4 linked regions of the Xenopus tropicalis genome follow. The protein of the gene in region 4 purifies or fractionates together with the protein of the main gene of each other region. This does not show direct contact. Links are inferred from orthologs where the notes say so. Each region holds a gene or a part of one and is shown on either strand. Other genes may lie near its edges.

What was found.
Region 1: the proteins of sertad4 (region 4) and ppp2r2d purify together in Homo sapiens (affinity purification with mass spectrometry; 3 studies listed by BioGRID and IntAct, counting the BioPlex papers as one, with this or other methods). This does not show direct contact. The link is inferred for Xenopus tropicalis from reciprocal best matches to the Homo sapiens genes SERTAD4 and PPP2R2D.
Region 2: the proteins of sertad4 (region 4) and ppp2r2c purify together in Homo sapiens (affinity purification with mass spectrometry; 3 studies listed by BioGRID and IntAct, counting the BioPlex papers as one, with this or other methods). This does not show direct contact. The link is inferred for Xenopus tropicalis from reciprocal best matches to the Homo sapiens genes SERTAD4 and PPP2R2C.
Region 3: the proteins of sertad4 (region 4) and ppp2r1a purify together in Homo sapiens (affinity purification with mass spectrometry; 3 studies listed by BioGRID and IntAct, counting the BioPlex papers as one, with this or other methods). This does not show direct contact. The link is inferred for Xenopus tropicalis from reciprocal best matches to the Homo sapiens genes SERTAD4 and PPP2R1A.

The regions. Positions count from the first base shown.
Region 1 is NC_030683.2:21,318,937-21,326,989, forward strand, and holds part of ppp2r2d (serine/threonine-protein phosphatase 2A 55 kDa regulatory subunit B delta isoform), read right to left. Parts: intron 6,776-8,053; coding exon 6,663-6,775; intron 6,124-6,662; coding exon 5,946-6,123; intron 5,354-5,945; coding exon 5,189-5,353; intron 2,979-5,188; coding exon 2,809-2,978; intron 2,702-2,808; coding exon 2,610-2,701; intron 1,721-2,609; coding exon 1,441-1,720; 3' UTR 1-1,440. UniProt on the Homo sapiens protein: Substrate-recognition subunit of protein phosphatase 2A (PP2A) that plays a key role in cell cycle by controlling mitosis entry and exit. Involved in chromosome clustering during late mitosis by mediating dephosphorylation of MKI67.
Region 2 is NC_030677.2:25,467,774-25,475,826, forward strand, and holds part of ppp2r2c (protein phosphatase 2, regulatory subunit B, gamma), read left to right. Parts: intron 1-2,022; coding exon 2,023-2,192; intron 2,193-5,084; coding exon 5,085-5,176; intron 5,177-6,126; coding exon 6,127-6,418; 3' UTR 6,419-8,053. UniProt on the Homo sapiens protein: The B regulatory subunit might modulate substrate selectivity and catalytic activity, and might also direct the localization of the catalytic enzyme to a particular subcellular compartment.
Region 3 is NC_030683.2:120,818,685-120,826,737, reverse strand, and holds part of ppp2r1a (serine/threonine-protein phosphatase 2A 65 kDa regulatory subunit A alpha isoform), read left to right. Parts: intron 1-2,790; coding exon 2,791-2,964; intron 2,965-3,787; coding exon 3,788-3,848; intron 3,849-5,309; coding exon 5,310-5,464; intron 5,465-6,042; coding exon 6,043-6,185; intron 6,186-8,053. UniProt on the Homo sapiens protein: The PR65 subunit of protein phosphatase 2A serves as a scaffolding molecule to coordinate the assembly of the catalytic subunit and a variable regulatory B subunit.
Region 4 is NC_030681.2:15,442,331-15,450,925, forward strand, and holds the start of sertad4 (SERTA domain-containing protein 4), read left to right. Parts: upstream 1-3,176; 5' UTR 3,177-4,030; intron 4,031-8,595.

The sequences.
Region 1 (8,053 bases), on a different chromosome or scaffold from region 4:
TTCTATGAATGTAGTCGGATTCTCAGGTTTTTTTTTTTTTGTAACGGCCAAAAAGTTCCACAACTCAGCATCTGGAAATATAGTGTCACAACCCATATACAGTATAGTCAGATAGTCTTCTCTTTTTTTTTTTGTAGAAATGTAAATGATTTGTTTTCTCTTGTAGCTAGGCCTAATGCGGGCGAGGGTGGCACTCTATGGACATAAATTAGGGATGAGGTACATATTTTGTTCTTGCATATTAACTGTCGGAATTATAATTGACCATCGAGTTCTTGGCTAAAACAGAGCGGGTCGGGGGCCTCTGTTCGTCGCCAGGGGAGGCACAAAATCCACTTGGCACGAGTCTGCGCTTCCCGCGACTCAGGGTGGCGACTACGCGAGCTCTAGGGAACCGGACTAATTAGTGTCAAGCGGATGCACGAAGGTTAAACCTATTTGTTCACTGTACATTCTTCCAACGCTAAACAGTTTGGCATAACGAAATTTTTTAAAGACAGATCTGGGGGGGGAGGGGCTTGAAGTGCAACAATGGCGGATGGCATGCAAAATGGAAATTAAAAAAAAAAAAAAATAGTAAAAAAATATAATGCACAAAAGGTATAGTCCGTAAGTTGTCTAGCTAAAATATCCCATAATACTGTGCAAAATCCCTGTAGGTTTTTCATTTTTTTTTTAAGCTCATGGAGACCAAAGTCCTATTTCAGAGAACCGTTTTGAAGATTTGATCTTGGTATCATTTCATAGAACCGCTCGCGGCTCAGGAACATGCGATAAGAAAGAACATTTTAGGGGAAATTCCAATGAATTCTGGTCAGATCTAAAAAACACTTTTGTAAATGTTTATTTTGTTTCTTATTTAGTGGTTCCAGCAGGTGGCACTGCCATTAGTACAGCCAGTAAATAGACATGGGAAAAGGTCAGCTGACCTGAGGAGTTCTAGCTAAGTGCTCGGATTATATAAATTAAAAAAAAACACTTTGCCCAAATAAAGGCCAGAGGAGGAATGTTACAGGCATAACACAGTGTATGTTCTCAGAGGCCCAAAGAGAACAGCAGAAAGAAAATGGTGTCAAATTTAATTCAGTATAAAAAAAAAATCACAATCACATTTTACGATTTTATCCCCGTTTTTTTGGTCAAAATGTGGGAAAGGAAGGCTCAGGCTTCTGGGAGATGTTCATCACTTCTGACGTTTTGTTTTTGGGGGAACCTTGTGCCTTTCCCCCCCCTTACGGGGAGGCCAGACCTCTTACCATGACAATCCAGCTCTCTCTCTGTGTGTTTCTATTAAAGGGAAGTGCATCCATGTTGGTTTTGGGAGGAGGACAAGGAGGCCTGATCTCTTACAGATAAACAACTAGGCTTAACTATGCAAGAACAAGACTTTGTCCTCAAAAACAAAACAAAAAAAAACAAAGTAATAATGCCATTTTTCTTTTAGTTAACTTTGTCCTGGAATATATACAAATTATTGGTGGCGGCGACAGCGATGATGTTGTCTGTAGGGTGCCACGCTGTGTGGAGGATCTTTTTGTTGAAGTCTAAGCTGTCGACGTTGATTTCGTCCTTCTTCCTCTTGCCGCCCGTACAGACTTTGCGCGGCTTTAAGATGGCACGTGGTTTGCTGCTTTCCCTAGAGGCTTCCAGTGTGATGTCCCGGCGCGTGTTGCGGTCAAACATTCTGAAGAAGTTGTTGTAGGAACCGGTCATAATTGCACTGCGGAGAAATCACACACACAGTTGGGTTCAATTATTATATACACAGCGACAACATATTACAATAAATATACATTAAAAAAAAATAAAAATGCTTTGAGGCTACAATTATACTGATACTTTTAATTACCTATCTTTCTATTCAGGCCCACTCCTATTCATATGATAGTTTCTCATTCAGACCAATACCTGGTTGCTAGGGTAATTGAGACCCCCAAACAACCAGATAGCTGCTGAACAAAAAGCTAAATAACTCATCACAAACATAATGAAGACCAATGGCAAATTGTTTCAGAATAGCAATGTCTACATCATAATAAATGAGCTTCTCTAGAAGAATCCTGCATTGAAATCCAAACAGGTAATTTTTATATTTAATTTTGAAATTTCACATGGGGCTAGCCATATTCATTTCCCAGGGTGCCACAGCCATGTGCTCTGATAAACTTCAGTCACACTTTACTGCTGCGCTGCAAGTTGGAGTGATATCCCCCCCCCCCTCCCAGCAGCCGATCAGCAGAACAATGGGAAGGGAGCAATATAGCAGCTCCCAGTAGGTATCAGAATAGCACTCAATAGTAAGAAATCCAAGTCCAGCTTGGGACTCTCCAGTTACATGGGAGTAGGAGAAACAATAGGTTAGCTGAAAGCAGTTCTAATGTGTAGCGCTGGCTGAAAGCTCAGACTCAGGCACAATGCACTGAGATGGCGCCTACACACCAATATTACAGCTAAATATACATTTGTTGGTTCAAGAATAAAATATTAAATGGTAGTGTAATTTATAAATAAAAAGTATACCATAAAAATCATGACAGTATTTAATTTGAAGGTGACCAATCCATTTAAAAGGACACCTATCGGACTATCTGGTCAGAGTTAACTCTTACCTGTCTGATCCATTCCAACAGCATTCAAACTTGTCAAAAATGCAGTCGTTTTCATACAGAGAACACAGCTTGCTACGTAGGTATTCATGAACCTGATGTTCAATAAAAGAGAAAAAACATTAAAACTCAAAATAAGTCTAAACAAACCAGAATTAGATGGGATCAAAGGTTAAAAAGACACAACTGATGGCGCACTGACCTGATAGGTTTCTACTGGCCGGCTTTCCATATTAAGGTCCCACACCTTTACAGACAGGTAATCTCTAGTCATCATGTAACGGCCGCTGTTGCTGAACTTGACGTCTGATATTGAGGAAATTATTTCGGAGAAAAACGACCGGCTGCTGGGGTCTTCTGGTTCCTCAAAAACTAAGAAGGACAACAAAAATATTCGATAAACAGGTTCTGATCATAAACCTTTACCCAGTCTGCAGCATTTTTTTTTTTTTAATACTAGTTACCATATTCACAATGAGAACATACAATACAATACTCAGGAGTTTTCTACATTCGTACATGAACGTTTAGTAGCAAAGAGACCTCTAAAGGACAATCTTGTGGGCCTCCAGCTGTCTACATCATAACTCCCAGCAACCCTGTACATACAGGTAACATAGATAAAAACCCACTTTTGACTTCTGTCTCTAGAGATTTGCAGAACTATACTTCATGCAGTGCCATGTAGTTCAGCAACTTGGAGCACAGTGCTTAGCAATACAACACTGAATGCCACTGGGTAGACAGACTTAAGGTGGCCATACATGGTAAGAAACTTTCCCTCGATATGCCCGCCTTGGGTGGGCAATATTGTGCTATTGCACAAGTCGTAGCGAGGACTACATCAATGAGGCAATGTGGTCTTTGATCAGACAGAAAAATCAAGACTGTGCAATCAACATTGGCCAATTTCTGGCCAGATATTGTTTAGGGAGGCCTGTCGGAGGGCCCCATACATGGGCAGATCCAAATTGGCAGCTTAACTCTGCCTGTATGTGGCCACCTTTATAAGTATATAGCACTATCCATAGTGAGGCACAGTACTGGTGTATAAGACCCCTTTATCCAGAATGCTCAGGACCAAGGGTATTCCGGATAAGGGAACTTTGGATCTCCATACCGTAAGTCTGCTAAAAAATCAATAAAACATTAAACCCAATAGGATTGTTTTACCCCCAATAAGGGGTAATTATATCTTAGTTGGGATCAAGTACAGGTACTGTTTTATTATTACAGAGAAAAGGGAATCATTTAACCATGAAATAAACCCAATAGGGCTGTTCTGCCCCCAATAAGGGGTAATTATATCTTAGTTGGGATCAAGTACAGGTACTGTTTTATTATTACAGAGAAAAGGGAATCGTTTAACCATTAAATAAACCCAATAGGGCTGTTCTGCCCCCAATAAGGGGTAATTATATCTTAGTTGGGATCAAGTACAGGTACTGTTTTATTATTACAGAGAAAAGGGAAATCATTTAACCATTAAATAAACCCAATAGGGCTGTTCTGCCCCCAATAAGGGGTAATTATATCTTAGTTGGGATCAAGTACAGGTACTGTTTTATTATTACAGAGAAAAGGGAATCATTTAACCATGAAATAAACCCAATAGGGCTGTTCTGCCCCCAATAAGGGGTAATTATATCTTAGTTGGGATCAAGTACAGGTACTGTTTTATTATTACAGAGAAAAGGGAAATCATTTAACCATTAAATAAACCCAATAGGGCTGTTCTGCCCCCAATAAGGGGTAATTATATCTTAGTTGGGATCAAGTACAAGGTACTGTTTTATTATTACAGAGAAAAGGGAATCATTTAACCATTAAATAAACCCAATAGGACTGTTCTGCCCCCAATAAGGGGTAATTATATCTTAGTTGGGATCAAGTACAGGTACTGTTTTATTATTACAGAGAAAAAGAAAATCAGTTTTAAAATTCTGAATTATTTGATTAAAATAGAGTCTATGGGAGAAGGGCTTTCCGTAATTCGGAGCTTTCTGAATAATGGATTTCTGCACAAGGGATCCCATACCTGTACTATAATAAAGGCACTTTTTCACCTTGGCAATAAATATGACATGCTGTAAATGGTCATTAACCACAGGTGTACAACATGGCTCTTGGCTGTTAGTACATAGTACAGGTATAGGATCCGTTATCCGGAAACCTGTTTTCCACAAAGTTCAGAATTACGGGAAGGCCATCTCCCATAGACTCCATTATAAGCAAATAATTCTAATTTTTAAAATTGATGATAAAACAGTACCTTATACTGGATCCCAACTAAGATATAATGAATCCTTATTGAAGGCATAACAATCCTATTGGGTTTTTTCATGTTTCAATGATTTTTAGCACACTTAAGTTATGGAGATCCAAATTACGGAAAACATATCTGGAAAACTCCAGGTCCTGAGCATTCTGGATAACAGGTCCTATACCTGTAACTTAGACACTGGCACAACAGGGCAATCGTGAGTGGGATAAACCCTGCGTGTTTATTTAGTGCAAACCATGTAATGTTTAGGGGGAAGCCCCTTCGTCAGACATGTGACCTGGTGAATTCTGGAACTTACATTTTGAATGTCTATCACAGAGCGCGGAGTCTCGCATGTCACAAAGTCTAATTGTTCCTTTGCTACTGCTGTAGACAAACACGTTACAATGATGGGGATGGAATTCTGCAGCCGTTATGACTTCTGTCAGCTCCTCCATGTTAGCAGGCTTAATATCTACAATGTCTGGAAAGGCAGTTAAGGTTTTTCTAACAATCGAATAGAATTATGGGGGCTATGTAAGGATAGGCACTAAGTTGCCCAGGAGCAGTAGCCCATAGCAACCAATCAGCAGGAAGAATTTTCTGGTCACCTATTTAAAAGCAAACATCTTATTGGCTGCCATGGGTTACTGCTCCTGGGCAAACTTAGTGCCGTTTATTACACATGGGGGTAGAAAACAAAAAGACCAAAAGATGGGAGCAGAAAGCTCAGTTACACAATATAGTTCATGCTTAACTAGAACCATTTTGTGTCTAGGCTTGTATCCCATAGGATGAAAACTAGCAGGTACCTCTATAGCTGGCTATGAACATATAGTAGGCTCCATGCCCCGACATACAGTAGACTGCACTCCCCATAAAAATTAATTTCCCAATATGAAAATCCTTATATAAATTCACTGATAGTATGAGACAGTAATAATATAAAACATAACATATATTTAGCCCAACATCTAGGAAAAATAAACAGTAAGGAGAATCTCCAGGAATATATTTCTATTTGCCAGTGCCATACTGACGTAAATTTTTCAACGCTGATGGTAAGCAAAGGATACTAAAACTTCTATCTGTAATTTCTAAATGCCATAAATTAATTCTCAGGTCATCTGCTGAAAGGTAAGTTTCATGATCGCTATTTACGGAAATTGAGTTTATATGATATGTGTGCGCATTTGCAAATATCCGTCGTGGACTTGCTTCCACCATTAGGTCCATGGGTTTTAGGATTGGCACCTGAAATGAGAATACATGCAAAGTGGTTAAAGGGAACCTTGGCAAGAAATGAAGAAATAACAGCAAGAATAAAATGGGCACAATTGCTACAGCACATCTTGTAGCTGTAAACAAGGCTTGGTAAAGGCTCTACTACTATGGTCACTACACATCATAGGGCTCTACTACCAGTTCTCACAGTCAACTCCCTTCCACTTCAGCTTGTGTGCAGGCCTGTATTTGTATATAGGCACCCAAGGGCCTGTGCCTAGGGTGGCAGCCTTAGGGGAAAGGTCCTTGGTGCCTATATAATCAATTAAGTTAAAAGAATGAAAAAATAAAAACCCTCGCCAGTAGCCACCAGGGGAAATCTGTTGGGAGCTATGGGGGGGGGGGGGGGGAATTGCGCTGTCTGGGGGTGTAGTTATCTCCAGTACCTACAGGGGCACCAGAACTAAATACTTCCCTGCTCGCCCAGAATAGCCTATGCCCATAGATAATGTAGTGGCTGTACCCTTCTAATTATCTTTCTTCATAACTCTGTTTCCCCCAAAACTTACCCGTAAAGATGTAATTCTAAATGGATCCCGCAGCCTGCCGTCATCGTCCTTTAAGTTGTAGCCTTCAACTCGTTTGTCTCGCTCACTTATTTTCCACAATTTTATAGTTTTGTCTGCAGGGAAGATAAATTCCTTTCAGTGCATGAAAACAACCTTTGTACATGACTGCTTTCAGTAAGGTAACAGCGCACTCTTTCCAAACAATACTGTATCTATCAGGGCCATCACAATGTCACCTTGCAGGGAATTTCTATGGCTCTTGCCTCCTGCCCAAGGACAATATCTATATATCTGGGGTGAACAAAAATGCAATTGAGGACTTTCAGTTCTATCAGTTGCCGACGCTATAATATAAGGGGAAAATGATTTCTACTTTCTCAAGAAGCACCTTATTGTGGCTTCTCACAGGTTTCTACCCAAACATATAATATGATCAACCAATGCACGTCACCAAAATGGTTGGTTTGGCAGAGAAGCCAAAGGTGTATGGGTACTTATGGCAATAAGCTAAAATGAGAAGAGGAGAGCTAAGCACCAGCACTGTGTCAATTTAAATATAAAACCTTTATTTTCTCTCATTAAAAACATGAGGCTCCTGTTAGCGTCACAATGGGCCAACATATTTTGGGCAATCCCACCTGTAATCATAGGCTATTAGTCAAAACTGTATGTGACACTGCCGCAGGAGTCTGGAGCGGTGTTTTACTTATACAGACATGGGATGTTGTCTGGAAACCCATTATCCAGAAAGCTCCGAATTACAAGAAGGCCATCTCCTGTACACTCAATTTTAATCAAATAATTCTTATTTTTAAAACCGATATACTTTTTCTCTGTAATAATAAAACAGTACCTTGTACATGATTCCAACTAAAATATCATTATTCCTTACTGGAGGCAAAACAGTCCTACTGAGTTTTTTTCATGTTTAAATTATTTTAGTCTACCTAAAGAAGACACATAGGATAAAAAAAACCTGAAGTCTTGTGCAGTCACACAAGCAAAGGCAGGATTCAGTTTCCTATCAGGTCAGCCTAGCAGCTAATTGGTTCCTATCCTACAGTGCAGTGTACTGCCGCCCCCCCGGCACAGCCTGGGAAAGGATGCAGCAGGAAGCGAACAGATGGTGGGACTAGTGGAGTTTTTGGAGAAATTTTTAATAAATCAGCCAAAAACACTACTTTTTAAACAAATTCCTTCAATATTCATATGAGTACAATTTATTGGCACAATATTAATTGTCACATAATATGTCCCCTTTAAGATATGGAGATCCAAATTAAGGAAAGATTCCTTATCTGAATGAAAAGTTGATCCCCACCTGACCTTAACCCACCCACACCTGAACTGGTGAGCTACTGGTATTCATAGACTCACACTCGACCCATCCA
Region 2 (8,053 bases), on a different chromosome or scaffold from region 4:
ACAATTTGTCGTTAATATATATAGTCCAATTAAATTTATTTGCTTAATGTGCTGAAAGAGAACATATTAATGCAAGTAATAGGGATACACAGCCCCTATCACATTTGGGTTGGATGATGAGACCCAAGCACATACCAATGGGAGATATCAGAAGGCTAAATGCCCTCCAGGAACATAATCTGATTAAAACAAAAGATGGTTTGACAGAACGGGGTTTCTTGGGGGTGGACACAGTGGCAGTTCCTCCAAAACTGACTTAACTTCCTAGCCATATTGCTTTGTGTATGGAGAGCATTAAGCTGAAACAGGTTTAGAAAGCTGAGGATCGCATGGTGAGAATCTCGAGCTGCAGTTGATCTATGAGGGAAGCAAGTCAACCATGCAAGAGCTCTCCTTAGTCTTTGTCATGGAAGAAAAGAAGGGTAGGCCTTAAAGCTTGGAGCCCACTTTTTATTGGTTACATAAAACAGTACATTACCCCTCTCTATGTTTGTACAATATGGAGTAACAAGTATTTGGGAAATGTGTCTAACAGTTGCAAGGTTTACTCCAGGTCAGATGTTTGCTGGCCAGTAAAGTCTGTAGGATCAGCCACCTTTCCTATATTTTTATATTTCTTCCCCATTAATAACATTGGCATTGAGCATAATGTTTACTGGTCAGGTGGCAGTGCTAACTAGCTGCTGAAAATTAATTTACTCCCGATCTGAAGTTAGGGAGCAGAAAAGAGTCATCTAGTGCAGTGCTGTCCAACTTCTACGGTGCCGAGGGCCGGAATTTCTCTAGCATACATGGTGAAGGGCCGCTAATGGAAGCCAATTTTGACCACTCCCCTTTTTGAAACCACACCCACTTCAAACCACACCTATTTTATCACAATGGTGGTAGCACAGCAAAATCCCAAATGCTTGGTCCTTACTGTGGGGATATCAACCATCATTCATATGTGAAAGAATTATGTCATATTAAGATATACCCTTAAATTCCATATGCCTCCTCCTCCCCTGTGGATAGCAGAGCAACCCCCAGTACATAATTACACACCTTTGGGACCAACTGCTAACAAACTCCCACAACAAACCCCTGCCAGGTTCACCTCCCACAAGCAGCATAGGGCAAGCAGAGTATGGCACACACAGGCAGCACTCTGCCTGTCCTATGCTGTCTGTGTGTGCCATACTCTGCCTGTCCTACCCTGCCTGTGTGTGCCATACTCTGCCTTCCCTATGCTGCCTCTGTGTGCCATACTCTGCCTGCGTGTGCCATACTCTGCCTGCCCTACCCTGACTGTGTATGCCATACTCTGCCTGCCCTACCCTTCCTGTGTGTGCCATACTCTCCCTGACCTATGCTGCCTGTGTGTGCCATACTCTACCTGCCCTATGCTGGCTGTATGTGCCATACTCTGCCTACAGTACCTGTGTCTGAGGTGTGAAGAAGTGAACAATGTGGGTGATTACAGTCTGAGCCTGAGGTGTGAACACTGCAGGGGGTGAACAATGCAGGTATTAAAAGGTGTGAAAAACACAGGGGATTACATTTTTAAACAATACAGAGGGATTACAGCCTGAATCAGAGGTGAGAACCATGCAGGGGGCCAGTTAATCTCAGTACTGATACCATTTAATGCTTACTCAAAGGTAAGCCATCAAAGCAGCCAGACAGGTGGGGGGCCACACAGAGGGGGGTCGTTGGCCGCATGCGGCCGTGGGCCACCAGTTGGACAGCACTGATCTAGTGTATCAGAGCTAAGCAGAGCAACATCAGAAGACATTTCTTTTCTCAGTAAACAAATTTTCAACCGACTGTATGTGCCTTCCATATGGGAAGTTGAGTACATTTAATTCACTGTATTTATCTCCTGTGTTGGCCACCAGTTCTGCTATTTATTGTTTTTTTCATCTTACATTCTTATATGGAAGTTTTGTGACCTCCCTTGGACACTCTAGGTGCGAGAGGGAGAATAACTCTACTTTCAGTTGACCCATATAACACCCTGTGCCACCATGCTTGTATTTACAGTTTATGAAGAACCAGAAGACCCAAGCAACAGATCATTTTTTTCAGAGATCATCTCCTCAGTCTCAGATGTCAAGTTCAGCCACAGTGGACGCTACATGCTCACGCGGGATTACCTCACTGTCAAAGTATGGGATCTAAACATGGAAACCAAGCCCCTGGAAACGTACCAGGTAAAACGCTTCATTTCCGGAATTCTGTATTTGTGGTATTGGGGCTGGTGATAGTTAAGCACAGCTGCTGTTTGAGAGGAACAGGTATTTACATGGGGTGATATGATGATACAAGGACTGGATTTTCCCTCCATGTTGCAGCTAACTGGAAACTCCTTTTCATGGTTGGCTGGTTCCCTTCACTGGATCATCTGATCTTTTTTTCAAACGCACCTATGGTTTTATTTTGGAATAATATTTAGTATTCATCATAACACTGACTCCTAGGTGAAAATTCATAAAAGTGGTGATATTGAGACAAAATAAAAGTGGAGATAGATTTGTCGGATTTCCCACCGTATTCACAAACCTCTATCTCCACTTTTGTGAATTTGTCTTTTAAACAGACAGTTTTCAGATTTTGTCATTTTACAGACATTTTTTTTATGAATTTGCCTTTAGCTCTTGGTAAATCTGTCGGTGCCCCCAAACCCAGTCCCACAGCTACAGGAGCCTTGGGATAAGGATTTTACCAGCAGGATTTTGCATTTCATATGCCATTTCACTTTGGGGGAATTTCCTGAGGGGTAATTTTAGTTTGCCCAGGGAAACTATACATCATTTTTTTTAGGACAAGCCGGGCTTTCTAATGTTTCCTATATTTCTGTGTAATTCCACTTCTGTTACAAGATTTAAGGGTCTAAATACCGTCTTCTCTAGCCCCTACTCATTAATGGGCAGCAGCAATCCGGCCCCCACACCAACATGCCCAGTGAATAGAGGTCCAACAGGACTAGGGCCCACTGGGTTTTTATCCAATGCCCTGTTGGGCCAGTCCAACCCTGTACCCCAATATCCCAGTGTGGGTGCCGGTGTGAATGTGCTGTTTGCTGATCCCCAAGATGGCTGCTGGGAACAGGTGGGGGCCAATGCTGTTAAGCAGCTCTGTCGTTGTGGACATGCTATGGGGGCACAGAAAAGTTGGGGCAAATGTCAGTGAAGTGATTAAAGAGGGGGCACTGGGAAACTTTAATTTTCCTTTTATTAAAAACATTTACAATATATTCATAATCATGCAAATGTGAGGTAAAAACTTTTTATATATATAAGATATAAATTAAACTTTTTTTAATCAGTGTTTTACTTGTTTATAAAATGTTAATGAGGCTTTTTGCACCTATTGTTCTAGGGTTAGACAGAAACTTGTCCCCTAACAATAGGCTGCTAATCCCCATTAATATGTTAACGATCCCCTAATGGGGCTCCTACCTTAGGTGTGAAATGGAGACTGGGTGAAACCAAACAAAACAGAAGAGCTTAGAATTGGTTTGACAGAGTTACACTGAGCTTTACTCCATTTTGAAAAAAATGTTGTTAAAATGTTGTTTAAACGACAAATTCACAAAAGTGTCTGTAAACTGTCTTTCTTTCACCAAAAACGGAAAAGTGGCGGTTGAGTCGGAATTTAGGCGGATTTCTGTTTGTGACTCTGGAGAAAGTGTTTTTCACCAGTTTTTCCACCACTGTTACTCCAAAAAAGGGCTCTCTCCACTTTTGTGAATTCCCCCCCTAGAGTTCAAGCCCATTCTTTCCGATATTTGGTCTGGCCCCCAGTAGCCAGTTTACAGTCGTATAAAACAGTTATCGTTCTGATAGTGCCTAATTGTTCAATCCCACCACTTGGCTTTCAGGTACATCACTAAAAGTAAATAAGCACAAATTTCTCCCTAATGGGCACCCACCCACTGCTCGGGACCACCATAGGGGGTACAAGTGCACAGTCTGGGAAACTGGAAAAGTATTAGAGGCACCAATGACTTATTGTTGATTGTCCTCCAACACTGAGGACCAAATGGCACCTTAGTAATAAATTTTATTGTGGACAAATTCCACAGAATTAAGAGACACTACACTCTGCACTTGGTAGATCATATTGACATATCAAAAACAATTTATTAAACACTGGCTAGAGTGTTGAGGATTTTTTTGACAATGACCCCCAGTAACCCTTGATGTGTCAGCATTCACCCAGTAATTGACTGACCCCACCTCACCGTCTCCCCAGCACAATATAGTTATAAAGGTCACTAATCCTCGCTCATGACCAGCTTGCGAACTGTCCTTGTGGTTCTTTTTGATAGCGGGGAGAGCTGAAAGGAGGCCAGACATTCTGTAGGAGAGTTGAAGCATTTCTATGGTACAATGGACATCATGTCACAAAGTGGATTTGGGAAAAATACATTTATTTAATCTTTAGCTTTATATCTGTAATTGCTAGGCTGGACTCCGGGCTTGGGATAGCTAAGGGACAGTAGGTGGAGGAGACGTCAGTAGGCCGAGCAAGAGAGGAAGATAACAAGGAAGATTACTGTCTATATCTGTCTTCCTACCTTGGCTCAATGATAAAGGAGATTATCCGCAGTGTTCCGCCAGTATGCAAGGAAGCTGCTGTTACTGTTCTCCACTGTATTCACCTCCATTCTACTCTATCACTGATCACAGCCCCCTGGCTCTCTATCCCCCTGCCTTTAGCATTTGGCAAGGCAAGAGGAGACTTAAAGGACTTATAAGGAGTCTAGGGACTGCTTGTCTGAAACATGCACGTTCTACCTACACATCTGTACATTGGTTTTGTTTAAACTACTGTAGTTCTGGCCAGTGTGGTGATATAGAACTCAGCTATCGCTGAGTCCAAAGTAATGGGAGGGTGACTCCTGAGGGCCATTTAGGGTGACAGCTTATTTTCTGTCTTGGACACCTCTGGAACTCTATAGCAGGGGGAATGTCTGTTTCAAGCTGGAAAAAAGGAGAAAATGCACAGGTTACAGATAACCCATCTTTCTTTCTCCTGACAACGTCCTCGACTACTTCATGTTCGGAAAGTGACCAGCAGTTGTGGTTTTGTGCTTGCAGGTCCACGATTATCTTCGAAGCAAGTTATGTTCCCTGTATGAGAATGACTGTATTTTCGACAAGTTTGAATGCGCATGGAATGGTTCGGACAGGTAAGTCACCAACTGTGTTTGGAAAAAAAACTTTTATTATTGTAAACTGAGATTGTTTCAGGATAGTGAACTGCAAAGAGACAGCATAGGGGGCTGGGGCGTGAAATACATTATCAGGTTTCCAGTTTACCTGTACGATGTGTGGCTCTGTAGGAGATAGACATATTGTACCAGGGGGCTGTTTGAAATTGTTGCTGGTACCATTCTTACCCCCATATGTAATAAATGGCACTGTTTGCCCTGTAGCAGTAACTCATAGCAACCAATGAGATGTTTGCTTTTAAACAGGTGACCAGTACTGCTGATGCTATGGGTTACTGCTCCTGCTCTTTATTACATAGCCACTTTAGAGTCCTACATTCACTAATCCTTAGATGTTTCCTTCTCCAGATTATCAGACACCTAGCGGTAGTGATTGCAGGTTCGGACTGGGGGATGCAGGGCCCACTGGAGCTGCCAACCCGAGGGCCCTGCATGTGCCCCCACCGGCCCCATCCCCTGCACCCCCTAGGGGCCCCCACTGCACCCCGGGACACGTTGAGCCTCCCTAACCCCCCCAAGGGCTTCCCGGGGAGCGCCGGCAAGGGTCGAGTCTGGGTTTTTCCCAGTGTCACGGTGGCCCAGTCTGATTCTGGGTGATTGATAAACCTAAGTAAATTATTTGTATGTTTTTTGACCCAAATATTGCAAGGGTAAAACCAATAGTTAACCTTTTAAAGGTCGGTGCCATCTTTTGAGTTTGTAGCAGAGCGGTACATATTGTGCTGGGAAGCAGAATCCAATAGGACAGTGACTGGGTAGTGATGGCAGGGCCCAATACCAGATCTGTCACTTGCTGACTATTGGAGTTATAATTGTACTAACCTTTTCATCCACTTTTTTTGCCACTTATTTGCCACCAGAAACTGGGAGAAATACAACATAGATATGTGTGCCTTTTTTGTTTGCAGCGTCATCATGACAGGGGCGTACAACAACTTCTTCCGCATGTTTGACCGAAACACAAAAAGAGATGTAACCCTGGAAGCCTCGCGGGAAAGCAGCAAGCCCCGGGCCATCCTCAAGCCCCGCAGGGTATGTGTCGGGGGCAAGAGGCGGAAGGATGACATTAGCGTGGACAGCTTAGACTTTACCAAGAAGATCTTGCACACAGCCTGGCACCCCACTGAGAATATCATTGCCATCGCAGCGACAAACAATCTGTATATATTTCAGGATAAAGTGAACTCAGAGATGCAATAGGATTAATCTTTATTTAATGCCAAGCTAGCCTTTCCGGGGGGTCTTATCTTTGTTGATGACTCTGTAGGAAAGTCTTCTTGGTGGTGGGATTGAATGTTCTACCATAACTTCTTGCATTACCTCCCTAAGCAGAGGTTCTTGATTCCTCCTTGGCTGGAGATATATTCAGAACCCTTAGGCCTGCATCGCTAAGCGATTAAGATCGCCTTGACCATGGCGGTCTATGGGCTTGCCTGATACTCCTACACTGAAAAGGGAAAGGCAGCTGTATCTTCAAACTTTCTTTGGATGCCTGTAGACTCTTTTACATTACTATGGATGTGGCCATGCTTATTTCTGCAATAATATTCCATTCTCAGTAACCTAGCAACATCGCATACAGTCTATGGTGTGCTTATAATATACACTTATACGGTGTACTTATAAACTACCGGGACAAAAAAGGTATATATAATAATATTATATATTTCTTTTTTCATCATATTCATGAAATCATGCATGAGCCATACTATGACACCTTCATGTACAGAGTCTGAGATTTATTTGGTCCATCATATATTTTTCTTTTCTTTAAATGCCTTAAAAAGGGCAGTCAGGAAATAAACACTATGGGCGCATGTATAAGCACTAGATCTTTCTTTTGTTCTCGTTTTACATTGTGAATGTTATATAAATATATATATATTAAATATACGGACTGACCTGAAGCAGTTCTCAATAAATAAAAAATGCTGATAATATTTTTATTTGCAACATGGCGCTACTCATTTTATGCAGAACTGTCCAGGCATCACAGAGCTCGCAATCTAATAACTATTGCAGGGGGCAGAAATAGGGACTTTTGGAGCTGACGTGGGTATCAAGACAATTTTAAATCCTCAGCTATATAAATACAACACAGCACCCTTGACAGTACAAATGTTCTTTATGTTGTGAATAATATTGCAAATGATGATAATCTGTGTTATAAGAGAACACAGATCAAAATGGATAAAGGAAAACAACGCCATATATACACCCTAATTTCTGCTTGTTATACCCAAAATATTGAAGACTTTCACTCCTCCCAAAGAAAATACAGCTTCAGGGTTGCTCACTAAATCTTTCGTATCAAATATAAAAATTATAGCATGAAAAAACAGAATTGTAGAGACCAGGTACACAACATATATGAATGGAAGGGGAGCTGGAACAGTTGTGCTGCCTCAGCGTTAGACCAGAACAATTAACTGGGCCGGGCCCAAGAGTCTTTTGTGCTTCCAGTACTATAGAATCTAGTTGGGGAGAAAGCTGTAAATGCATCTCTGAGGCTGTAGGAAGATGTATCTTGATCAGTACAGCCAAGTGCTCTATAGTACATAAACCTCTTTTTGCCTAATTTGTTATGTTGGCCTGTGTATATATATATATGAATTTGCAATACCAACATGGGGCCTGAGCAGAGCAAAGAAAGAGGGACTGCAAAAGGCTATTAGTGAGCTGAGAAGCAACATCCCTGGCTCTGATGAATGATTCTACCAACAGTAATAAGTAACCCCCCTTTTCTTTATCTTGCCTGTTACTTATTACTGGACATAGGCATTCTGGAGGGATGTTTGGATACTCTTGCCCTGGTGTGGGGCACGGTATTTAAAG
Region 3 (8,053 bases), on a different chromosome or scaffold from region 4:
TGCCATCCCACCGGCAATTTACATTCTAGCTGGTGGGATGGCATTCTGGGGAGATTGGTCGCCCGCAACAAGGGAGATTTGTTGTGCAAGGACTAATCTCCCCGTGTGTCACACCCCTAACGGTTCTCCTGACCAACTGCTGTTTTTCGTTTAGTTTTTCTGGCTGTTTCTTTAGCTACATGAAAGGGAAGGGAGTGCATTTGCAAGGAGAATTTCTGTTCTCTAAGCACTGCAGGCAGGGTTGTATTTAGGTCTGGTGGGTGCTGCCCTAGGCAGTGGCAGTGGGTGGGCTGGCCCAGTACCCGCAGGACCCGTGGGTCGCGTGGGTTCAGGCCAACCTTGGCACATCACTTGCGGGTCACAGGAAGGTTTGGATTGAGCTCTTCTGCTTGCCCTCCCTGCCCGCGACATAACACTGCTGGCTGCCACTACCGGCTTCTGTATTTCTAGGCGTGCACCTACCATGCCACTCCCCCTTTGTGACATCATTGCAGGGCGGGGCAGAAACCGCATCGGGTAGGGTTTGGGTTCAGAGTGGTCGGGTGCGGGTCCAGTTTTTCTCCACCCACACATCACTACTAGGCACAGTTCACAGCCCACCCTCTTCCATCAGCAATTGACAAATGCATGAACAGTCCTGTTGTATTGCACAGAGGAATGATTAATAACTCCTCCTCCCTCACGTCAGCTGCTGGATAAAGGCACATGTATCTGACAGCAGGCTGGGTTTTATTGTAAATTTTTTACCATATAGGGACCTGAGTCCAGCCCCCTAGGCACAGGCCTTTAGGTGCCTATATAGTAAGTATGGCCCTTACTGCAGGTAAGCAAGGGTGGGGATTACTGAGCCACATGAGAGCTGGGGAAATATGCAACCGATAATAAAACATGCTTGATCAGAAAGATAACTTGATTGTGTATACCAACTCTAAATTCATTTGTTTGTGGTTTCAGTTTTTAAATAGTGGTTAAATTGCATTTGAGTCAAATTTCAGGCTTCATTTTCCAGCTAAAATGTGCAGATGGCTGCCAGGATTCAATTCTGGTATCCAAATTCATTCCTAGTGTTGCCAAATCCTTCGTCCCATTGGCAGTGCATTTATATTATTTATATAGAGGACAGTTTGTATAATTCCACAATAAACTGAATGAGTAAGTGCCGGTGTGAGACTCGCTCGGCTTAGCATTTAGCCATAATGCGGTTGGAAAGCTGATTTAGTGAGGGCTTTATTAACTGCAGAAAGAGTTGAATCACTTTCCCAAGTATCTTTCTCTAGGAATGCCTTCCAGCCTGTGGTTTCTCACTTACTATTGCCTAAGTTTCCTACATTTATTTCCTTGTAGATTCATGTTTTTTGGATGATATCCTTTATATAATATCATCTTCTGAATATCCAGCTTTGTTTATTGGCAGAAACTATTCCACCGTGTGTATTCCTCTGAACTAACTGTGGGTGCAGCTGTATAAATGCACTTATAACCTTTACAGAGAGATCCAATCAAAATATTTTAGCTTATGTATATTGTACAATTAGTACAAGGATCTGGTTGATGTTGCGTTTTAATATTACAAAAGCCTGGGCCAGTGTATGGCCTTGTCACCAAGAGGAATTTACATTGACATGATTACATTCGGGCAAGGTCACTCATACTGGGCTGTAATCTGTAGCAACAGTAACTGTCAACTTGGCCTTTAAGGCTAAAATGACAAAAGGGCATTTGCTGCATTTACACGAGTGGTTATCTATTCTGACAGTTGCTAGTAGACTGGAGTTTTCTTGCCATTCTGCAGGCAACTTTGCCCGATCAGCGATTATCTTTGTTGCTGGTAGAAAGGCATTTTGGAAAGATTAGGTGCCCACGGTAGCAAAAGATCTATCACGGGTGACTAATCTCTGCGTGGGACATCAGACTGGGAGAAGAAAATAACTTTAAAATGAGCCCTGTTATTTAGTGATGTGTGGATGGGCGGAGCTCTTCTTACCACCATCCCCACCCGTGACCTAACTGTGTCCCTGCCTCTCCCCGCCCCCTTCATGAAGTCAGAGGCGGGGCAGGCGTGGGTATATAAATGGATGCAGCTCGGCGGGCTGCACAGGTTAGCGTGTGGTGCAGGTTGTTTTTTTTTCGACCCGCGCATCACTACTAGTGTTGATGCCATTTCCCATTGCTTCTTACATCTACGTATCCTCCTATCCTTCTTTTTCCAAGTTTATAGGAGAAGGAAAGTCATTTTGGCATTTTACTGCCAATAGATTTGTCACATTAGTGCCACCTAGAACGCTATATTTATTCAGCAGAAAGCTTTACTATACTTGAGTAAAGAGCCCTAGAAGCTCCCTCCGATAGCAGCTGCCATTTTAGCTTGGTCTTGGTAGCTTTCTGCTGCAGTTATAGTTGTTGGAAGCTCAGATCACACGTTCCTAAGGGTGGGGGAAGTGAGTTTGTATGTATTCTTATGGGAGGGGGGAGGGGAGAGGAGAAGAACTCGGCAGACTCAAGGCCCAAACCTGAAGGAACCCTAAAAGATAGGAAGTCTGATACCAAAGAACATGTTCCCAAAACAGGAGACCAGAAATCCTGTGTTTCTTTTGATAGAGGACTCAAGCGCTTACAGAAACACTGCACTATGGCTGTATTTACACAGACCTTTCTGATAAAGCTTACTGAGTTTTTACCATTCCTTCTCCATTAATATTGAGTGGCTGTGTCTAAGTGTGGAGCGTGGAGTCTATAAATAAACTCTTTTTGCAGGCAAATTTTAAAAGCTAAGGTTTTTCTATTTTTCAGTGTCCAGAAGTGCGGCTGAATATCATCTCAAACCTGGACTGTGTGAATGAGGTTATTGGGATCAGGCAACTCTCACAGTCACTGCTTCCTGCCATTGTAGAACTGGCAGAAGATGCCAAATGGCGAGTGCGGCTGGCAATTATCGAATACATGCCCCTACTTGCCGGACAGCTGGTAAGTGCACCTCTTAGTGTTGGTCCAACCACAGAGCTTTGTCTATAGTTCAGAACAAAAGAAGTATATTACTGTCGGAGCTACAAATAAAGGGATGAGAAACAGCCACACAATCTGGATGGCTTTGGTAGGAGCTAATTAACCTATTTTGCCTGCATTGTTCTGGAATGCTTAAAGGGGAACTCCACCCAAACACCTTTTTCAAAAGTAACGGTAATTTCAAGCAACTTTGCACTATACATCAATTAAATAATATGCAGCCTTTTCATGACTTTTAATGTAATAATATGATTTGGAACAGTTCCCTAAGCCCCGCCCCCTGTTCCCCTGCTGATCTGGCTGACTACTCTGTGACTCAAATAAAATGTAACAGTAGTCGCCTGTCCTCAGCCTGCCTTCAGCCTGCCTCCTCCCAATCCCACAATTCCCTGCACACGTGATGCCAATAAGGAAAGGAACATCACAGTGCAATGTATTGTGGGTTATGTAGTTCCTGCATGCTGTCTGTAAGCTGGGGAGAAGTTGTTACTATTAGCGACATCATTGTTTTAGTCCCTCCTCCCCTGTCAGGATTCCAAATGATGCAGAAAGAGAAGCACTGTTTTGCAGCTGGATTTCAGCATATACAAATGGTATTTATTCATACTTTTTGAAGTATATATTGGGGGCCAGCGTAGGAAATGACTCATGCCTAAATTGGCCTGTTTCTTAATTGTTATATCTCCTCTTCCAGATCTGAATCACTGATAAAGTCTGTATTATCAGTTTTGGCCACTAGAGTGTGCTGCTGTTTATACAGTAATATGATTTTGTTCTTTTGCAGGGAGTGGAGTTCTTTGATGAAAAGTTAAACTCTCTGTGCATGGCCTGGCTCGTGGATCACGGTAAGGATTTATCACTATTTACAAATCTACTGCACTCACCTGTATTCATTTTATCTGCACAATCTCCTAACATATTCATATTTAGAAGTTATGGCTTAAGTTAAAACATATTAGTTTACTTTTCTCTTGATGATGAAGGGTAAAATGTAAAGACTAATATGTTTTGACCCTTTTTCTTCACAAAGCATTTGGCAAAACCAAAGCATTGAGTATAGCCTTAATAGGTTGTGATTTTCTTATTATCTGGCTCAATATCAATTGTACGTTTGCAGTCTATGTTTTGGTTACCATTGCTCTAGGGCAGTGGCACACAGTGTTATTTTAGGCATTTTGCTGCCCAAGTGATCAGTAGTGCAGGCAACGGAAGCTCAGAATCCCAAAAAAGACATCATTTCAGGTATTTTGTTTCTTAAAGGAAAACTATACCCCCATAATGAATACGTAACCAACAGATAGTTTATATTATGTTTAGTGGCCCATTAAAGAATCTCGCCAAACTGGAATATATATATCAGTAAATATTGCCCTTTTACATCCTTTCCCTTGAGCCACCATTTAGTGATGGGCTTTGTGCTCCCTCAGAGATCAGCTGACAGGAAGTGATGCAGCTCTAACTTTTCCGTTACCTAGACTATTACTGTTGTTTGTCTTATACCCATATGACATTTGAAGACATTTGAATGTGACATATTTGAATGTGGAGGAGTGTGCAGACTATAAGTCACCCCTGTTACGTAGCTGTTACAAGCTGACAGAACTTTCTATAGCGGTATATCCCTTGTTTGTCTCGGAAAGTTCCCTTGCGGCTTTGAACAAAGCAGAAACAAAGATTGAGAATGAACTGAGAAGTTCATTTAAAGGTGAACTTCCCCCCGAATGAATCTGGCTAAAAATGCCATTATTTATATTCTGAACTTATAGCAGAAGTTTAAGGTTTCAGCATCTCAATAGCAGCAATGATCCAGGACTTCAAATTTGTCACAGGAGCTCCCCATCTTGTAAAGTGTCTGCGACACTGCACATGCTCAGTGGGCTCTGGGCAGCTGTTGAGAAGCCGAGTTTAGGGGTAGTTGCAAGTTATCAAGCAGAAAACGAGGTTGGTCTGTCATATAAGGTGATGCTACAGGGCTGATTATTACATTCTGATGCTAATTGCACTGGTTTCTGAGCTGCCATGTATTAACTACTAGTCAGCCTTATATTGTGACATTTATATTCTGTATATACAGTATAGTGTGAGCGGGTCCCTAGGCTCAGGTAAGTGACAGTAGCACAGAGCATGTTCAGGGAATCAGCAGAAAATAAGATTGGGGGCATCTTTGGTGGCACAGATCCTCCCTGCTAAAGGCCTGTGGGTGCCTTGGGCTGGTACAGAAGCACAAAACATAATGTACAGCATTTCTATCCTTCTTTAGTTAGGCTTAAGTTCTCCTTTAAGCTTTTACTTGTTTCTCCTTGCAGTGTATGCCATCCGAGAGGCAGCAACAAGCAACCTGAAGAAGCTGGTGGAGAAGTTTGGCAAAGACTGGGCTCAGGCCACCATTATCCCCAAGGTCCTGGCAATGTCTAACGATCCCAACTACCTACATAGGATGACCACCTTGTTCTGCATCAATGTAAGTGGCTTCTAATATAAGTATGTTACAAGGGCTGGGTGGTGGGGGTCATACTCCTAGAATTTTATACAATACAGGTGCCGGCTTTCCTACCAAGTAGCCGAAAGCGCAGAATATAAAAGGCTTTATGTACCCCCTGATGTATTATATACTTAGACATGAAGCCACACACAGTTACTATTTGTCTGGTGCAATAGTTTGGCAGTTTAATTATGGCTATGTGGTGGTTAGAAAATGCCTAGTGATCTCTGTTCCCTTCTTTGATCAGTGTGTACAGTGTTGCTGTATGGCTAATAGCCCACGTGGCATTTAAACCAATGTTCTTATCAAAGCATAAACATGTGCTTTTATGTGAGGTTCTTACCCAGTAAGCAAAAGGCTGTGAGGATTATTTACCCAGTTAATAACAGACTGTCGAAGGCATTTTATTGGCTGTGTGTGCAAATTGGGGGTAATCACTGGTGACTCCCCACTTGTTACTGCCATCATAGCCTAGATGGTCCTGCTGAATTCACTAGTGTAAATGTCAGGGTGCAGATGTGTCAGAATGTAATGGATTTGTTCATTGCCTCCTGCAGGTTCTGTCTGAGGTTTGTGGACAAGAGATCACCACCAAGCATATGCTCCCTACAGTTGTCCGAATGGCCGGGGATGCTGTGGCCAACGTGCGCTTTAATGTGGCAAAGTCTCTGCAGAAAATAGGACCCACCTTGGACAACAGGTAAATGGGGCGTATGACAAAGTGTGTAGTGTATTTGATTCAGTTACTTTCTATTGCTTGGGGGATTAAAGGTGCTTCTATAGCGTTTGGTCTCTTCCCCACATACCTTCTATATTTCTCTGGTGCAGTGTTATCCTTCCCTTTAACTGTGCCAGTGTATAAAAGGTGGCTTTTCCCAATGCATGGTTTCATGGGACACAGGTAGGTGTAAAATATTTGCTTACGATTTTCCTTTTATTAAAGGTCAAATATCACATCATACATTTCTGTAAAGTTTAAATAGTGACAGATATCGTACAGGCTACAGAGGCAGAACATTGTTATTGGATGAACGTGTTTTCGTACTGGGAGAATATAATAGAATATTTATCCCAAGAGCTATTTTTGTCCCACAGCAGAGCCATATGTTTAGGCGTGGGTTGCCAAAACACACATTTTAACTCTCCATTGTGGCCTACAAGTTCCAAACGTTCACAAAAGTTCCTGTGTTTAGTAACCCTTCAGGGTAGAACTGTAGTGTAGGAGGAATACATTATGGGCCCTTACTGCTGTTATGCTGCAAAAATCACTAGGGTTGCCAGCCATGCTGTGGGAGCAAATGGGAAGCAAGTATACATTACGTCTCAGTGATGTCACACCATAAATACTTGCATCTGATTGGCTCCTGCTGCCCAGAGGAGAGTGTAGCTAAAGACCAATTGGATTTCTACACCAGTATTATTGTTATTAATGCACCAAGATGTTCCACAGCACTGTCAGTTTGGTACAAATGCCTGAGGCAGCAGTGGGGAACCAGATACTCTGCCTTTTGAACTGTGGGAAACAATCATCTATATTGCAACATCAATTCTAACAGAATCACTAAACATAGTGGGAAGGCTTTTCATGCTTTTAGAATGTCAAGGGCAACTTTTCACTTTTCATCCATTTTTTATTCCTATAAGTTTTTATGTTATTTAGTTGAAAGGAACAGTAACACCAAGAAATAAAATTGTATCAAAGTATTTAAAACATATAATATAATGTACTATTGCCCTGCACTGGTAATAGTTTTGTACATGGCAGCTTATTTATATAATCTTTAGGGTTTTTGAAGCAAATACACAACCTTTACCAGTGCAGGGCAACAAAGACATGTTTTTTTCAAAACCCATCAGTTAAACGAGCTTCTCCAGCAGAATCCTGCTTTATAGGATTTTTTTTTATATTTAATTTTAACATTTCGCATGGGGCTAGCCATATTCTTCATTTCCCAGGGTGCCACAGCCATGTGACCTGTGCTCTGATAAACTTCAGTCACACTTTACTGCTGTGCTGCAAGTTGGAGTGATATCCCCCCCCCCTCACCCCTAGCAGCCGATCAGCAGAACAATGGGAAGGGAGCAAGATAGCAGCTCCCAGTAGGTATCAGAATAGCACTCAATAGTAAGAAATCCAAGTCCGGCTTGGGACTCCTCCAGTTACATGGGAGTAGGAGAAACAATAGGTTAGCTGAAAGCAGTTCTAATGTGTAGTGCTGGCTCCTTCTGAAAGCTCAGACTCAGGCACACTTTACTGCTGCGCTGCAAGTTGGAGTGATATCACCCCCCTCACCCCCAGCAGCCAATCAGCAGAACAATGGGAAGGGAGCAAGATAGCAGCTCCCAGTAGGTATCAGAATAGCACTCAATAGTAAGAAATCCAAGTCCGGCTTGGGACTCCTCCAGTTACATGGGAGTAGGAGAAACAATAGGTTAGCTGAAAGCAGTTCTAATGTGTAGCGCTGGCTGAAAGCTCAGACTCAGGCACAAGGCACTGAGATGGCGCCTACACACCAATATTACAGCTACAAATACATTTGTTGGTTCAAGAATAAAATGATGAATGGC
Region 4 (8,595 bases):
GCTAACACCCTACACTCAAAATGATTGGCTGCTTGTTCCATTGTTACTCGTGGTGTTTCCTGAGACACGTAGGCATCACTAAAGTTCACTAAAGTGAGTTCCCACGGGGGTTAATACCTGATAATGATATTTTCCAGTTTTTTATACCAGATAGTAGTCTCTCAGTGTAGTTTGTTGGTGTAAGGACAGAGCAAAGTAACTTGCATAAAAGTGTTTTAGATAGCTTGGCAGTACAGGTATGGGACCCGTTATCCAGAATGCTCGGGACCTGGGGTTTTCCAGATAAGGGGTCTTTCTGTAATTTGAATCTCCTACCTTAAGTCTACAAAAAAAAATTATTTCAACAGTATTTAAACCCAATAGGATTGTTTTGCCCCAATAAGGGGTAATTATATCTTAGTTGGGATCAAGTACAGGTACTGTTTTATTATTACAGAGAAAAGGGAATCATTTAACCATTAAATAAACCCAATAGGGCTGTTCTGCCCCCAATAAGGGGTAATTATATCTTAGTTGGGATCAAGTACAGGTACTGTTTTATTATTACAGAGAAAAGGGAATCATTTAACCATTAAATAAGCCCAATAGGGCTGTTCTGCCCCAATAAGGGGTAATTATATCTTAGTTGGGATCAAGTACAGGTACTGTTTTATTATTACAGAGAAAAGGGAATCATTTAACCATTAAATAAACCCAATAGGGCTGTTCTGCCCCCAATAAGGGGTAATTATATCTTAGTTGGGATCAAGTACAGGTACTGTTTTATTATTACAGAGAAAAGGGAATTATTTAACCATTAAATAAACCCAATAGGGCTGTTCTGCCCCAATAAGGGGTAATTATATCTTAGTTGGGATCAAGTACAGGTACTGTTTTATTATTACAGAGAAAAGGGAATCATTTAACCATTAAATAAACCCAACAGGGATGTTCTGCCCCAATAAGGGGTAATTATATCTTAGTTGGGTTTCCGGATAAGGGGTCCGATACCTGTATTCCCTTTTGCACAGTACAGTAACACAAGCAGACAGCTGAGAGCCTACTAAGCAATGCTGCAGGCAGTGGTGCCTTCATGTAATGCGCCCCCTATGGCTGGGCCTCAGCAAGTGCCTGACATGCCATAATAAATTACTTTGAATTTGCTTCTTTTAATTAAAGTCTATGAGCTGCCTCACAAGTGACCATATCTGAAGTGCAAGGAATGTGTAAATGGGTTGAACCCTGGGCTGCAAGTCCCAGTCTCTCTGCATGGATTCTGTACTGTCAGCAATAAACTCCAAAAACATCCCATTGATTCTGTGGGTTTACTCAGGCAGGCCACTAGGTGTCACTGTTCTTACCCCTTTCCTTGCCAGGGATTTATCATTGTCCTTTAAATACCTTTTCCTCCTCCAACATTGCTTTCAAGAACCAGGAATCTAGAAAATGAAAGCAAATGGTTTATCTGAAGAAATAAAAAAACATGATTTTTACTGATCAAAACAACCAAAAAGTGTAGTATGTCCAACACAAGCCCTATAACAAGCATACACTAGAGCTTCCAAGCAGATTCATTTTGAGGGGGTAAAAGGCATTAAACTCTAGTGAAACAGCGCCCCCTGCGGCAAAATAATTATGTTAATAGTATCATGTGTCAGAAAAATGTAAACATGACTGTTTATTTTATCTAATCTATCTATCTATCATCTATTCTGTCAATCTGTCCATCTATCTATCTATCTATCTATCTATCTATCTATCTATCATCTATCCTGTTAATCTATTATCTATATATTCTGTCAATCTATCAACTATCTATCATCTATCTATCATCTATCCTGTTAATCTATTATCTATATATTCTGTCAATCTATCTATCAACTATCTATCTTATCTATCTATCTATCTATCTATCTATCTATCTATCTATCTGTCTATCTATCATCTATCTATCTATCTATCTATCTATCTATCTATCATCTATCCTGTTAATCTATTATCTATATATTCTGTCAATCTATCTATCAACTATCTATCTTATCTATTTATCTATCTATCTATCTATCTATCTATCTATCTATCTATCATCTATCTTAACTATCTATCTATCAACTATCTATCTATCTATCTATCTATCTATCTATCATCTATCTATCTATTTATCCATCTATCTATTTATCTATCTATCAACTATCTATTTATCTATCTATCTATCTATCTATCTATTTATCTATCAACTATCTAATCTATCTATCATCTATATATTCTGTCAATCAATCTATCATCTATCTATCTATCTATCTATCTATCTATCATCAACTATCTATCTATCTATCTATCATCAACTATCTATCTATCTATCTATCTATCTATCAACTATCTATCTATCTATCATCTATCTATCTATCTATCTATCTATCTATCATCAACTATCTATCTATCTATCTATCTATCTATCTATCTATCTATCAACTATCTATCTATCTATCAACTATCTATCTATCTATCTATCTATTTATCTATCAACTATCTAATCTATCTATCATCTATATATTCTGTCAATCAATCTATCATCTATCTATCTATCTATCATCAACTATCTATCTATCTATCTATCTATCTATCTATCTATCTATCATCAACTATCTATCTATCTATCTATCTATCTATCTATCAACTATCTATCTATCATCTATCTATCTATCTATCTATCTATCTATCTATCTATCATCAACTATCTATCTATCTATCTATCATCAACTATCTATCTATCTATCTATCTATCTATCTATCTATCTATCTATCAACTATCTATCTATCTATCAACTATCTATCTATCTATCTATCTATCTATCTATCTATCTATCAACTATCTATCTATCTATCTATCTATCTATCAATCAACTATCTATCTATCAACTATCTATCTGTCTGTCTGTCTGTCTGTCTATCTATCTATCTATCTATCTATCTATCATCTATCTATCTATCTATCTATCTATCTATCTATCTATCTATCTAACCATATACTATATGTATAAATATACACAGGCACACACACATATATATGTTTATACCATACAGTGTGACCCCAATTGCAGGACTGGTCAGAGTGCTGTCCCTTTAAGCAGTGCAGCAGCAGGAGTCGCGGCCAGCCGGAGTCGCAGCGGGCAGTTGGAGTCGCAGGGCCGGTGGGAGGGGGCAGAGAGGGAGCGCAGACAGGCGCTTGTCACATTCCCTCCCTCACCCCCGGGGCAGGCTGGCGAGTCTCCTGTGCGATCCGGAGGGAAATGTAGAACAGGACGGACCGGTTTCGCTCTCAGCCCCGCACTCTCCCTGCCTGTTGGGAGCCTCTCCGAGCAGCTCTGAGCCGGGGGAACCTCTGCCTTACTCCGCTACAGCAGCCCGGGAACCTCTGTACAGCGACACTGCCCGGGAATCGCACCTCTGCTCTCCTGTACAGCGACACTGCCCTGGAATCGCACATCTGCTAACCTATACAGCGACACTGCCCGGGAATCGCACCTCTGCTATCCTATACAGCGACACTGCCCGGGAATCGCACCTCTGCTATCCTATACAGCGACACTGCCCGGGAATCGCACCTCTGCTATCCTATACAGCGACACTGCCCGGGAATCGCACCTCTGCTCTCCTGTACAGCGACACTGCCCTGGAATCGCACATCTGCTAACCTATACAGCGACACTGCCCGGGAATCGCACCTCTGCTATCCTATACAGCGACACTGCCCGGGAATCGCACCTCTGCTATCCTATACAGCGACACTGCCCGGGAATCGCACCTCTGCTATCCTATACAGCGACACTGCCCGGGAATCGCACCTCTGCTCTCCTGTACAGCGACACTGCCCTGGAATCGCACATCTGCTAACCTATACAGCGACACTGCCCGGGAATCGCACCTCTGCTATCCTGTACAGCGACACTGCCGCGGAATCGCTGTCAACCTGTGTTGCGACTGTGCGGCGACTTGTCTCCTAGCTGGCGCGGTGACCCTGCGGGACGCAGTACCGGGAGTAAGGCGCAAGGTAGGGGCATTTATTGGGGAGTTGGGCTTTACATGGTTATATGTACACATGTGGGGGCACCTCTCCCCCCCCCCAAGCCGCTGTAGAACTAGCGATGTGGGTGCAAGGGATGGGCGCACCTTGGCCATTGACTTATATTGCCCCTGTTTGTGGTTTAGAAAAAAAGTTGCCCCTCATGCCCCAGGGTTATGCCCCAATGTGCCCTTATTATAAAACTTAGTGCCAATCTATTTCCCTAGTGGGGCCCCTAATACTGTATTGAGGGTTCTGTAAGGGCCCAATGGGGCTCTCAGGGGATTCTGGGAGTAGGAACGCATTGGAATGGTACAGGCTGATCAAACACACATTACTGTGGGGAAAGTCTGGTATAGATTTGGCACAATCTCATAAACCCCCCCCAGGAAGTTTTGTTTTGGGGGGGGGTCAATATGTTGGGCAAACAACGTATTATTGGGGTGCAACTAAAGAGCAAGGAGACTCTTGGGTGTCCAGAAGGTATAGGGTGCCCAGCGCGGGACTGACAGAAGCAGTTTGTGTGACTTGGGGCCCTACAGTGGTATATCTGTGGGGCCCAATAATGTGTAGTTGTATCCTGTAACCCCCAGCCGGGCACAGGGCACCCACAGAAACTTATTATACACCCTATGAGGTTTTGGGCACTTGGTGTCTTTGTAAATACTGGCAGTGCCAGTCTGTGCCCCCTGTACTTGTGCCCAGTGTACCCCCCCCCGGCACAGGCCAAGGCACTAGGGTGCCACAGAGAGTGTCAGCAGGCAGTGAAGGGGTTACGCGCAGCTTCTTGGGGATCTGGCTGCTGTTTGGAATAGTAATTGTCTGTTAAGGGAACCATATGACTGTAGCAGCAGGGGATCATGTCTGTGCCTGTGAGATCAGGTCAGAAAACAGCCGCGGGCAAACAGACAGTTTCAGTCTGTTCCCAGCAAGAATGTACGTGCGCTGCCAGCGGGGTCACTGTGGGTCGGGCACAGAGGGCTGTATGGGGCACAGAGGGCTGGATGGGGCACGGAGGGCTGGATGGGTCAGGGGCATGGAGGGCTGTATGGGGCACGCAGGGCTGGCTGGGGTACGGAGGGCTGTATGGGGCACGGAGGTCTGGATGGGGCACGGAGGGCTGTATGGGGTACGGAGGGCTGTATGGGGTACGGAGGGCTGTATGGGGCACGGAGAGCTGTATGGGGCACGGAGGGCTGTATGGGGCACGGAGAGCTGTATGGGGCACGGAGGTCTGGATGGGGCACGGAGGGCTGTATGGGGCACGGAGGGCTGTATGGGGCACGGAGGGCTGTATGGGGCACGGAGGGCTGTTTGGGGCACGGAGGGCTGTATGGGGCACGGAGGGCTGTATGGGGCACGGAGGGCTGTATGGGGCACGGAGGGCTGTATGGGGCACGGAGGGCTGGATAGGGCACGGAGGGCTGTATGGGGCACGGAGGGCTGTATGGGGCACGGAGGTCTGGATAGGGCACGGAGGGCTGTATGGGGCACGGAGGGCTGTATGGGGCACGGAGGGCTGTATGGGGCACGGAGGGCTGTATGGGGCACGGAGGTCTGGATGGGGCACGGAGGGCTGGATAGGGCACGGAGGGCTGTATGGGGCACGGAGGGCTGTATGGGGCACGGAGGGCTGTATGGGGCACGGAGGTCTGGATGGGGCACGGAGGGCTGGATAGGGCACGGAGGGCTGTATGGGGCACGGAGGGCTGTATGGGGCACGGAGGGCTGTATGGGGCACGGAGGTCTGGATGGGGCAGGGGCACGGAGGTCTGGATGGGGCAGGGGCACGGAGGGCTGGATGGGGCAGGGGCACGGAGGGCTGGATGGGGCAGGGGCACGGAGGGCTGGATTGGGCAGGGGCACGGAGGGCTGGATGGGGCACGGAGGTCTGGATGGGGCAGGGGCACAGAGGGCTGGATAGGGCAGGGGCACGGAGGGCTGGATGGGGCAGGGGCACGGAGGGCTGGATGGGGCAGGGGCACGGAGGGCTGGATGGGGCAGGGGCACGGAGGGCTGGATGGGGCACGAAGGGCTGGATGGGGCAGGGGCACGGAGGGCTGGATGGGGCAGGGGCACAGAGGGCTGGATAGGGCAGGGGCACGGAGGGCTGGATGGGGCAGGGGCACGGAGGGCTGGATGGGGCAGGGGCACGGAGGGCTGGATGGGGCACGAAGGGCTGGATGGGGCAGGGGCACGGAGGGCTGGATGGGGCAGGGGCACGGAGGGCTGAATGGGGCAGGGGCACGGAGGGCTGGATGGGGCAGGGGCACGGAGGGCTGAATGGGGCAGGGGCACGGAGGGCTGGATGGGGCAGGGGCACGGAGGGCTGAATGGGGCAGGGGCACGGAGGGCTGAATGGGGCAGGGGCACGGAGGGCTGGATGGGGCAGGGGCACGGAGGGCTGGATGGGGCAGGGGCACGGAGGGCTGAATGGGGCAGGGGCACGGAGGGCTGAATGGGGCAGGGGCACGGAGGGCTGGATGGGGCAGGGGCGCGGAGGGCTGAATGGGGCAGGGGCACGGAGGGCTGGATGGGGCACGGAGGGCTGGAAGGGGCAGGGGCACGGAGGGCTGGATGGGGCAGGGGCACGGTTATACCTGTTTGCTGCTGGGAGCTTTAGGAATGTAAGGAGCACAATGGGAATAGTGCCTGAGCGTGTCCCTGCACATCAGCCTGGGGCCGCCTTGTCTAAACCCCCTGCACTTTATAACTTGCCCTTATGGAAGGGGCAGGCAGAGCTGGGGGCTCTTGTTAACGCTCTCCGTGCTGCTGATTGCACAAATCCATCCTTAGGATTAGGGTTAAGGGATAGGGGTGTCGGGGTATCATTTATAGAGTAGCGCTTTCCAACATGTGGCCTGTGTAGCAGTTGTTGAGTTGCAACTCCCTGACCCCCAGGCTGCTGCCTTATTGATAAATGTGTGTATATAACCATGGTAACACTCATGTCTAATGCACACCTACAGCGTGAGTGGGGGGGGGGGGGCATGTTAAGAACAGCTAAAGAAGAATTAACCCCCTCCCAAACAGAATATATGCAGTAAATGTTGAACAACACCTGGTATTTGTGGACTGTCAGTTTGTTGCTATGGGCACTATGTCTTGGCTTTGGTGCAGATCAGTTGGGGTTATTGTGAGACAAATGGGCATCATGGCATAGCAATGTATTAAACCTAATGGGATCACCTGGATTTGGCACTTACCTAGAGCTCTGTTTGTAACTTGCTTCACCCAGTCAGAGTGTAAGCTCTTGGGTGCATCTCCACCCTGGTACTGTCCTAATTCTCAGTGGTCAAATGCATTAACTTCTCTTGTGTATTGTGGCAGCTCTCCCTTGTGTGCCTGTACCCTACGTGGATTGTAAAGGTGCAGAGCGGACCCCACGTTCATGGAGAGGCTTGGGGGGGCCAAGACCACAGGGTCTGCTACCTCTATAGCTATAAGAAATCCCCCCTCTCATACCGCTCTCTGCGTAAAGGGCCAGAGAGGGGTTACCCAAGCGGGTGAATGGGTGGAGGGAGGGCCAGGTAGGTGTTTACTGTGGCCTGCCAAAGATTCTTGTGCAGGGGGGCTCGGCACCACATTGTTACCCCACAAGCTCAATGCTATAATTGTATAAGAGATTTCTCTTATGTCAGGGGCTTTCTTTGGATTATAAAGGCGCAAGGCATTGCTCCTAAGCGTATCGGCTCTCCCTCCCGTGTCTGTACCCTACATGGATGGTAAGGCGCATCGGATAGGTGCCCATCCGTCCATTTAAGGGATAAATACACAGGAGCCAAGTAACTGGTTCACTCCCACAGGCAGATGGGCCAGATATTAGGGCAGCTGGCCCACATACACCCGTGGCTAGTTTGCTCTGATGCAGAGAATAAGCCCCCCAGGCCAATCTGGAGAGAAGGAGCCAGTCTGCACTATGGAAAAACTACTTGTGTCTAAACTTGTTCCTTTGCAGCTTGCATAAAGCGCCAGTGTGCCTGCCCAGCCTCCTCTGATGGATGCATGCCAGCGGTGCAACATTTAGGGCCCTCGGGGGCCCAGGCCCCACTCTGTGAACATTTTTTTCTAAGCCCCCCCACCCTGGCTGGCCAAACTCATGGGTAACCCACAGCGCTCCCCTATAGTTACACCAAAATGCACGCTATTATGCCCATGGGCACTGCCAGCAGCCTGAGCCCAGAGATTCCTGTATACACACCCCCTTTTGCCCATGCTGCTATGTGTATGGGTATATCCTTTCAGCCAATGACAGTGTTCCTTTAATAAGCCCAATAGCTTGAGCAGAACGCGGGAACGCCATTAGTAGGTGAACACAGGCGGCCAATTTTTTTATTCCCATCATGGCGCCATGCCAGAATTATTTTTTTCCTTCCTCTTAATAAATAATGGCCATAAGCCCCGTTAGTGTTACAGGCCCATATGTTAGAGAGATCTGGCGCGGGGGAGAGATCCCCGGGAGTGGGCGCACGTGTTTTACAGAGGAACCCCAAGGTGCTGGTATTTTAGCTGCAAATCTCCCCGGCGCAGCTCTATAAATAAGCACTCGGCCT